2 linked regions of the Arabidopsis thaliana genome follow. The protein of the gene in region 2 interacts with the protein of the main gene of each other region in a pairwise test. Each region holds a gene or a part of one and is shown on either strand. Other genes may lie near its edges.

Region 1 (4,175 bases), on a different chromosome or scaffold from region 2:
AGAGAAGTAGAGAGAATCTGGATCGAGATCAGAGAGATCCAAGACTCCCTTCGAATTTACTTACTAGTGTTTGAGATTTGGGCGGAAGAACAGATATGAAACGACTTCGTTTCCTTGCTTAAGTTGTTGAAAGGTAGAAGATGAGATCGGTTCGGGACAATCTACACAACGCACCAAAACCGGATCATAAATCACACCGATCAAAATCCATTATAAACCAAATTACCGGTAACAACTAAACCGAAACAGTTGACCTCGTTGACGCTTACAAGTTACAGAGCTGTCACACAGGCTTTTTTTACAAGTTGCTTTTTTCACATTTCCTTCCCGGTACAATCTTAGTCTGACGCATTTCGGGTCAAATGTCGGTTTAATAATGGATATAAGAATACAAGTAATTCAGGTTTTTCTAAATCATTCTTGAGTCTAATCAAATAAGGATTGGATTCAGATCGCAGTATTTTGGACAACCGTGACCCAAAAAAATTCAACACTACTTTTTAAATAAATATACGCTTAAGATTTTATATCTAGTGAGTCAGTGACCTACAAAATGTACTCATAGCAATATACATACATTAAACATTTATAACCACGAAATAAGTAACTCCTTTATTATACACCTATCAAATTATACAAAGCATTGAGATTATAATATTAATATTGTTGGTATCTTACAATCTCAACGAGGATGAGAGATTTGGATTAAGATCGAAGAAGAGAGTGTTGGTTCCAGTTATCATGATCATAAGATAAAACCATTTCATTGTAATAGACATTAGAGAGACTCTCATGGTTATGGACTCCTTCATATGTTGTAATTACATAAGCTGCATCGTCACCATCTCTCTCTACCCTCTTCTTCACCGAGCAACCTTCACTTGAGCATTTGTAGTAATTCCTTTATATTATAAATTCATCCACCACATGTTAAATTGTAATCACTTTTATAATATATCGCACCAAGTTATATATATATATATATATATATATATATGTATGTATATATATAAGAATATCATTAACCAATTACAGAGTGTGTAAATTGCTTTCAAACCATGCTTTGAATGAAAGTGATATGTTTAGATGATGAATTCATTATATTTGTTTCTCTTATGATATATGAGTCAAAATAAATCTATACGATGACTGATTATCAACCATGGATTCATTGATCCATATACCACTAATCAATCAATTTTGCTATAGGAACCTTTTATATATTTGTATAAACAAAACACACATGCATGATGTATATAGAAGCTAAATTTTATTCCAAGTGGGTTGGTAGATAATACGGGTCCATTAAATAGTATTCAAATCACTATATGGTCTAGCTAGCTAGTGGCTATATATTCTATAACAACAGGATTACAAGATGGTTATAGAAAATTATCAAGCAACCATATGTTATGTTAAAAACAAGTACTAGTAAAACATATTAATTAGATCAAATGAGTAATTTGTAAATGAATAAGTTACCTCTTGTTAATGTTGTTTTTGACAGATTTCTTGCCATACTTCCTCCATTTAAAACCATCATCCATCACATCAATCTTCGATCTCGTTCTAAATGCAACTCGATGACCCGTCTCCTTCGTCTGATCACTCTCTTTACTTCCTCTATTACTACAATATTTATTATCAAAAAGATTAATGAATAAAACTATATATAATGAAATACTAATTGCTTGGTTAAGAATCTTGCCAACAATAATAATTAAAAAGGAACTCACGTTGATTCCTTTTTACTCAACGTTGTTGCGCTGCCGGATCCGCCGCTTTCCCCGGTAAATGTCTCCGACGAAACGATGCTTGTCGGAGATGAGATCTCTTCCTCGATTAATCCATTGTTACCTCCTTCATCTATGTCAAAGAACATCAAATTTGAGAAATCGTTGTTATCCATAAACGGATTAATAAAGTTTTCATCGGAGAAGTACGTAAAATTAGGGCTAGGGTTTTGAGAGATATTCATTTTTTTTTGTTTTTGAAATAGAAAAAAAAATAATTGAGAGAGAGAGAGAGAGAGGTTTAAAGCATCCAAGAACTAGAGCAAGTGAAGAAGAGAAGAGAAAGAGTTATAATGGTCAGTTATTTATATAAAAATGAAAATTATTGTAACAAGTTTTTGTTAAGAAAAGAGGATAATTAAGAGATAAAGATTATTAAACAACTACTACTTATGTCAAGCAATTTCAGGGTAGATACTAGGAAGGTGCTTCAATGCCACGTGTGAAAAAAGGAATATGATGATGACGTCATCTGTTATGACGTATGGACAGACGTTAATAAGGGTGGCGAAAAGTGAGCTTCCACTTAAAGTAATTGTTTTTTTGCTTGGGCTTTACGGGCCCATTTTAAGAGATTTTATCGTCTACATTAGGTAACGTTGATAATTGGATTTTGGTCTTTGGATCAACGGCTGAGGATTTAAGTTGTAAGTTTGCTTATGCTGCGTTTGAAGCAGACAGGACTTTACTTTACAGTGCACACCAAGACACAATAAGATTTGACTTATTGAATTATGTAAATGTAAATTATACTATTAAAGATATTGTCACAAACTTTATTGATTTCTTTTTGGCCTAACTTTTATTTAGCAAATCCTTCAAAATGGTTATCTCATCTGGTCTGGTGAATCCACATATATATATATATATATATATATATATATATATGCAGATCAATATGATTTCGAAAGTTATAAAATTCCGTCTGTTTTTTTACCAAAGATTAACTCTATTAATTAACTAGCTTATAATATTGTTAAAAATCTTATATAAACTATACTCCAATATTGATGGGAAACAGCAAATGCGTTTTTTAATGTTGGCAACATTTTATATATTTTATTTTTTCTTATTAGTCGTTTTTTGTTCTTCCAGAAGTTTTGGCACATTGCAATGTATCATCATACATATATGAATCGTTGACCCACACATATATCATATATGTATGACCAAGTTTTTTTGCTAAGTCTATTCTTAAGTCAACGATTCAAAATTTCAAAGTGGTCTTTTAATCTTGTCTTAAAAGGTAAGACGAAATTTCTTGGTGCCACTCTTAATTGTTTTTGTAACTACAATAATATTCTCTCTGTATTGTGTTAAAACAAACATAAAAACTAATTAACTGAGAATAAACACAGAAACATGTAGTGTGGCTCTGTTTTTAAGAAACACATGACTGGAATCATATAAATATTACCTATTTGAGTGATTTTACATGCAAATGATTAAAAGTTTAAAATCAGATAGTGTTAAAACTTAAACGTTTGCACAAAAAAATGTGTTTTAACTATGATTAACTAAAGTAATTAAGAAGAAGAAAAAGCAATAAAATATAGTATTTTTTAAAAAAGAGGCTAAAATATAAACTGAAAGACTGAAAAAGAAGGGCGGCTGGCCAAAAGTGAAGGAGTGTGTTAGTGTGGGGTTCTAATTGAAAGAACCCCTTTTTCAAGGGGAAAATCTGAAAAAATAAAAAATAATTACATATCTATATTTTAGTGAATTGCTTTGAAAGTGATATATGGACATTTATTAATGAACACCAACCACCTATCAGCTAAAACAGAAAAAAAAACAAAAAAAAAAGATGAGTTACAAGTTACTGACCTTTATATATACAACAATATACCTTATTAGTACGTAAAAAAGAATAATACTGTATTTTGTTAAAACAAATTACAATGACAAAAGAAAATTCACAAAAACGTACTTTTACTCAGTTTATTCTAACATATCACGATATTTTTTCGATTCCATTATTTCTGTTTGCCATATCGTTCCAGCAACTTTGAGCATACAAAATTTAAATGCTAGAAACAATTGAAATTTATCTCATACTATTTTAGAGTTTCCAACCCAACCTAATTAAAGACTATTAATCTTGAAAAGTAAACTAACTTATAACGATACATATATACACCAAACGAACAATTTACGAAGTCGAAGTATGTTGCATCTTTCTCAGTAGTCAGTACTCTACTTGTTGTGCAAAGGATTTGGACCTGTGGGGATAGATCGTTTCTCTTCTTCTTCCTCGTCGCCGTCCGTCTTTCTCCGAAATCTAGACGATCTTCGTCTAACTTTATTAAAATTTGACATCTCCGTGATCACAACCTTGTGATGATTCTTGTAGTATAGTGATCGAGCAACGCTCAAATTACG
Region 2 (3,929 bases):
TTTCCAAATCTAGAAAAGTCAGGTTTGAAATTGTCCTTTACAATGTTTTCATCCAATATTATGCAACCAAAACCGATTTAGACTAAAACAAATAATCCCAATGCCTGAAAAAGTAGACTAATTAATAAGTATAACATGTGCAGAACCTTACAAAATAAGATAAAATAAATGTTGACGTTCGAGAACTTTGAGAAGGTAAACCAAACTAAACCAAAACACAGAAGCAAGGGAGTAAACCGTAATCATATACCTTTTCGTTCTTTTGGAAACCAGACCGAATAATTTGGCTTTATATGAAAAGGTCAACGGACACTAAAATCTCAAAACAATTTTGGTGTACCGTTACGGCTATATTCGGTTCGGATCAATTTTCTTTGCATTTTGTTGATAGGTTATATCATTTTGTTTTACTTTATTTTGATAAAAGGGTTAATATTACTCACTGTTGAAAATGATATATTATACACGTACATCAAATATGAAAACACGTTATTTATTTTAGTTGAAGTACTACATGTATAATAAATATCATTTTCAACATTTGTAACAAAAGATTAGTAAACAATAATAATAAAAAAAATAATTTAGCTTGAGCCAGAATATTCTTGTTAACTTACAGTTTAATTTAATTAGTGTAACTGTACTTTAACCGAATAACCGTTATGTAAGTATCGATATTCAATATACACAATCAATCAGAGTATCTATATCGAAAACAAGTCGATCCTTGTTCTAATTCCATACAAACTTTTTCCCCAAAATTAAAGTACAGCAATCATCACATTTATCTGCACACCAAAGAATTAATACACATCCAATAATAGCACATCAATGAAGTTACATAATAAAACTAGGGCTTTTTTGACCGACCACATCTTAATTAGATACAGCCACTTCTCCTAGAAGGGCTGCACGTAGATTAAACTCTCTTCATCACAACTCTCAACCTTGGCAAAGTCAGTCCCGCCAAAAGTTTATGTCTCTCATCATACCCATTTGTTATATCTATATACAACTTCTATGCCTTTTTTCTCCCACAAAATATGACCTTATCGTTGCGATTAGATCTCATCTCACCAAATGCGATTTGCAGAATCAATAAGATTGAAAACCCTAGAAATTAATCTGTTATTAATTAAGACGAATTATGAGCCTTTGTATCGAAGTTGGTGTTGTTGTTGTTGTTGTTGTTGTTGTTGTTGTTGTTGTTGTTGTTGTTGTTGAAGATGAAACCTTCGACTTGTGAAGAAGAAGAGGATCTCATGGGAAACGAAGAGAAGTAATCTTCTCCGACATCTTGAATTAAACCTTCTAGATCAAAGTACGTGTTTGTGTTCGAAGTACTCTGATCACCTGATCCCCACTCTTCTTTCACCTGGTGGTTTCCTCCGTTTGCTAGTAAACCGGTGAAACCCGAAAGCCTGTTGACCGGCTGATGATCATCGCAAACCGGTTCTTGGGGAGTCGTAATTCTTGATTTGGCTCTCTTTTTACCGGTTTTGGCTTCTCCCGGTGCCGGTTTCCCGGTTAGACTCTGGACGAGTGAACGAAAGTTCTTGACGTCGGTCTTGATGACCTCCGGTGCAAATATATGGATTATGCGAATCTTGGGTTTGATCTTGGATATTACTTGTGAATTCCTGTTCATGGAAACCCTAGAACTCGAACCTTCATGAAAACTTTGATATTGAGTAATCTCCATTGAAGAAACTATAAACGATTGAGAAAAGATTTGATCCTTTTTTAGATATCTGTAATTTGAACCAAAATAATTCGTATGCCGTGGAATAATACTGCGGCGGGTTATTTATATATAGATAATTATAAATATATTGGATTGTTGGTTAGTCAATAACATTAAATTAACAACAAACTTGAATATTGAAATAACAAAGAAGGTGTATAACGAAACAGCTATGGACCTGCCTCCATGACACACAACAACAACTTGATTTAAATAAAGTTTTATGTGTGTATCACTATTATTTTACACTAGTACATTTTAGTTTAATTTTTAATTTACAGTCGGAATAAAATAATGTGTTTATGATTTGTGATTAATCAACTGACGATAAATCTAAACTATAATATTATACAAACATCATATAGTTAGAATATCTAAACAGATAGCGTGAGCCATATATATGTCTTTAATTTGGTCGCAAATGTGTCTGTGTGTGTGAAAGTTTTAATTTGTCGGCATGTCTGTTCTGTTCTGTTTTTGGCTTCCCTATAGTTTCTGTAGAAAAATAATTAAATATGATGCTAATTCTATTTGAAAACACTTCTTTTACTAGTTTCATTTTTTGTCTAAGCCGTAATAATGAATCTACGGTTTGGGCGTCTCTACATGATCAAATGATTGATAGTCCCGTTATATTGTTTTGGCTAATGACGTCGTGTGTGGAATTTTACTTTATCATAACTTATAACAATATTAGTAGATGGAAACTAAAATGGCATGCAATTTTATATCGATTTGTGGGGTCAAAATCTGACTCAGGAAACGGTCACTTGAAAACCGACCTAATTCAAATCATAAGTTTTATTTCACTTTCTTTGGTTTGATGATGCTCTTTAAGTCATATTTCTTATAATTTATATATATATATATATAACTATACCAAGGTAATAAACATGAAGATCCCACTTGACGCAGATCATTAATTTTCGTATAAGCTAATTTTGTTTGAATTTAGTTTTAATAAAACCAAAAGTTACCTTCTAAACTATCCCCACTTAAATAGGTTTGTAATGTCTATCTCATCAATTTTCATCTCTATGTTTAGACACTTACATATGCATGAGATCATTCATCTACACATGTTTGAGGTGTCGACACGGATAGATATGCCTTTGTGTGCTTAAAAACAAAGAAAAAATGTGTACTCGTTGGTTTTTATTTAAGTAATTATTTTGTACGAAAGAAATATTTTATACAAAAATGACATACAAACCTACAATAAAGAATTTGAAAGTTGCAAAGAAATAAAATAATAGTTGACTTTTGTTTTGCCAAAGAAGCAAACAAGAGCGACAGGGTGGATTTAACCTCCGTTGACATTACGTAATTTGTCGTTATTTATATTGCAAAAAAACATATTTAGATAATTGGAGAGTCGAATTAGAATTCGAGTATTATCGAGAGGTCTTAGAAAACTTACACACGGAACTGTGTTTTATTTTCTAGTCGTTACAACATATTTGCAATAATGATCATTTCTACAAAATTACATTTAATTTGAAATAAGCAGAATATAATATATGTACTTATACAAGTATACAACACCACTCTTTTTGGTGAATTCTTGAAGCCTACCGCCTATGTAGTCCACCTTTCGATGTTGCTTTGGCCTAAGTGTGATAATTTTGGTTTTACTTATACAATATCACTCTTTTTGGTGAATTCTTGTACGAAACCACTATTTGGTGGTTTTGACCTTGATTAATTAATTCTTGCAAACAATAGCCTATGATCATAGGGAGAGGTCATATTAGTTGCAGACTTTCAGTATTGATAATTATTCTGTTTATATTAACGTCAATCCATTTAGAAGTCAAACTTATTTAAATCTATAAATGTAAACCATACTATTTGATATAATTGGCGCATTTGGTTACATAAATCTCAGAGATTCGATATAAATAGCTGTATGGTTACATAAATAGCTGTATGTTTGTTCCACCAAAAAAAAAAAATAGCTGTATGTTTGTTTGTTTTAAATCAGGTGAATAACATAAATTTGGGGGAAAAAAATCTATGTAGTCATTATTAAATGCCATTACGCGGACTGGGAGACTTGTTCTACATATGCGAACTGCTTAAAACAAATATATATATGCAAAGGCCATAAATTAGAAATCATATCATCCATCAATTTAGATATTTAGAGAGTGGAGTTCATTAAAAAAAAAAAAAAAAACCGTCA

Evidence for each region.
Region 1: the proteins of AT2G44340 (region 2) and WRKY51 interact in a two-hybrid assay, tested with the Arabidopsis thaliana proteins (one study listed by BioGRID).

The regions. Positions count from the first base shown.
Region 1 is NC_003076.8:25,906,218-25,910,392, reverse strand, and holds WRKY51 (WRKY DNA-binding protein 51), read right to left. Parts: upstream 2,147-4,175; 5' UTR 1,979-2,146; coding exon 1,737-1,978; intron 1,630-1,736; coding exon 1,483-1,629; intron 902-1,482; coding exon 706-901; 3' UTR 512-705; downstream 1-511. Other genes in the region: CLE21 (CLAVATA3/ESR-RELATED 21), read right to left, coding at 3,990-4,175. UniProt on the Arabidopsis thaliana protein: Transcription factor. Interacts specifically with the W box (5'-(T)TGAC[CT]-3'), a frequently occurring elicitor-responsive cis-acting element. Involved in defense responses.
Region 2 is NC_003071.7:18,312,052-18,315,980, reverse strand, and holds AT2G44340 (VQ motif-containing protein), read right to left. Parts: upstream 1,794-3,929; 5' UTR 1,703-1,793; coding exon 1,136-1,702; 3' UTR 659-1,135; downstream 1-658. UniProt on the Arabidopsis thaliana protein: May function as positive regulator of plant growth.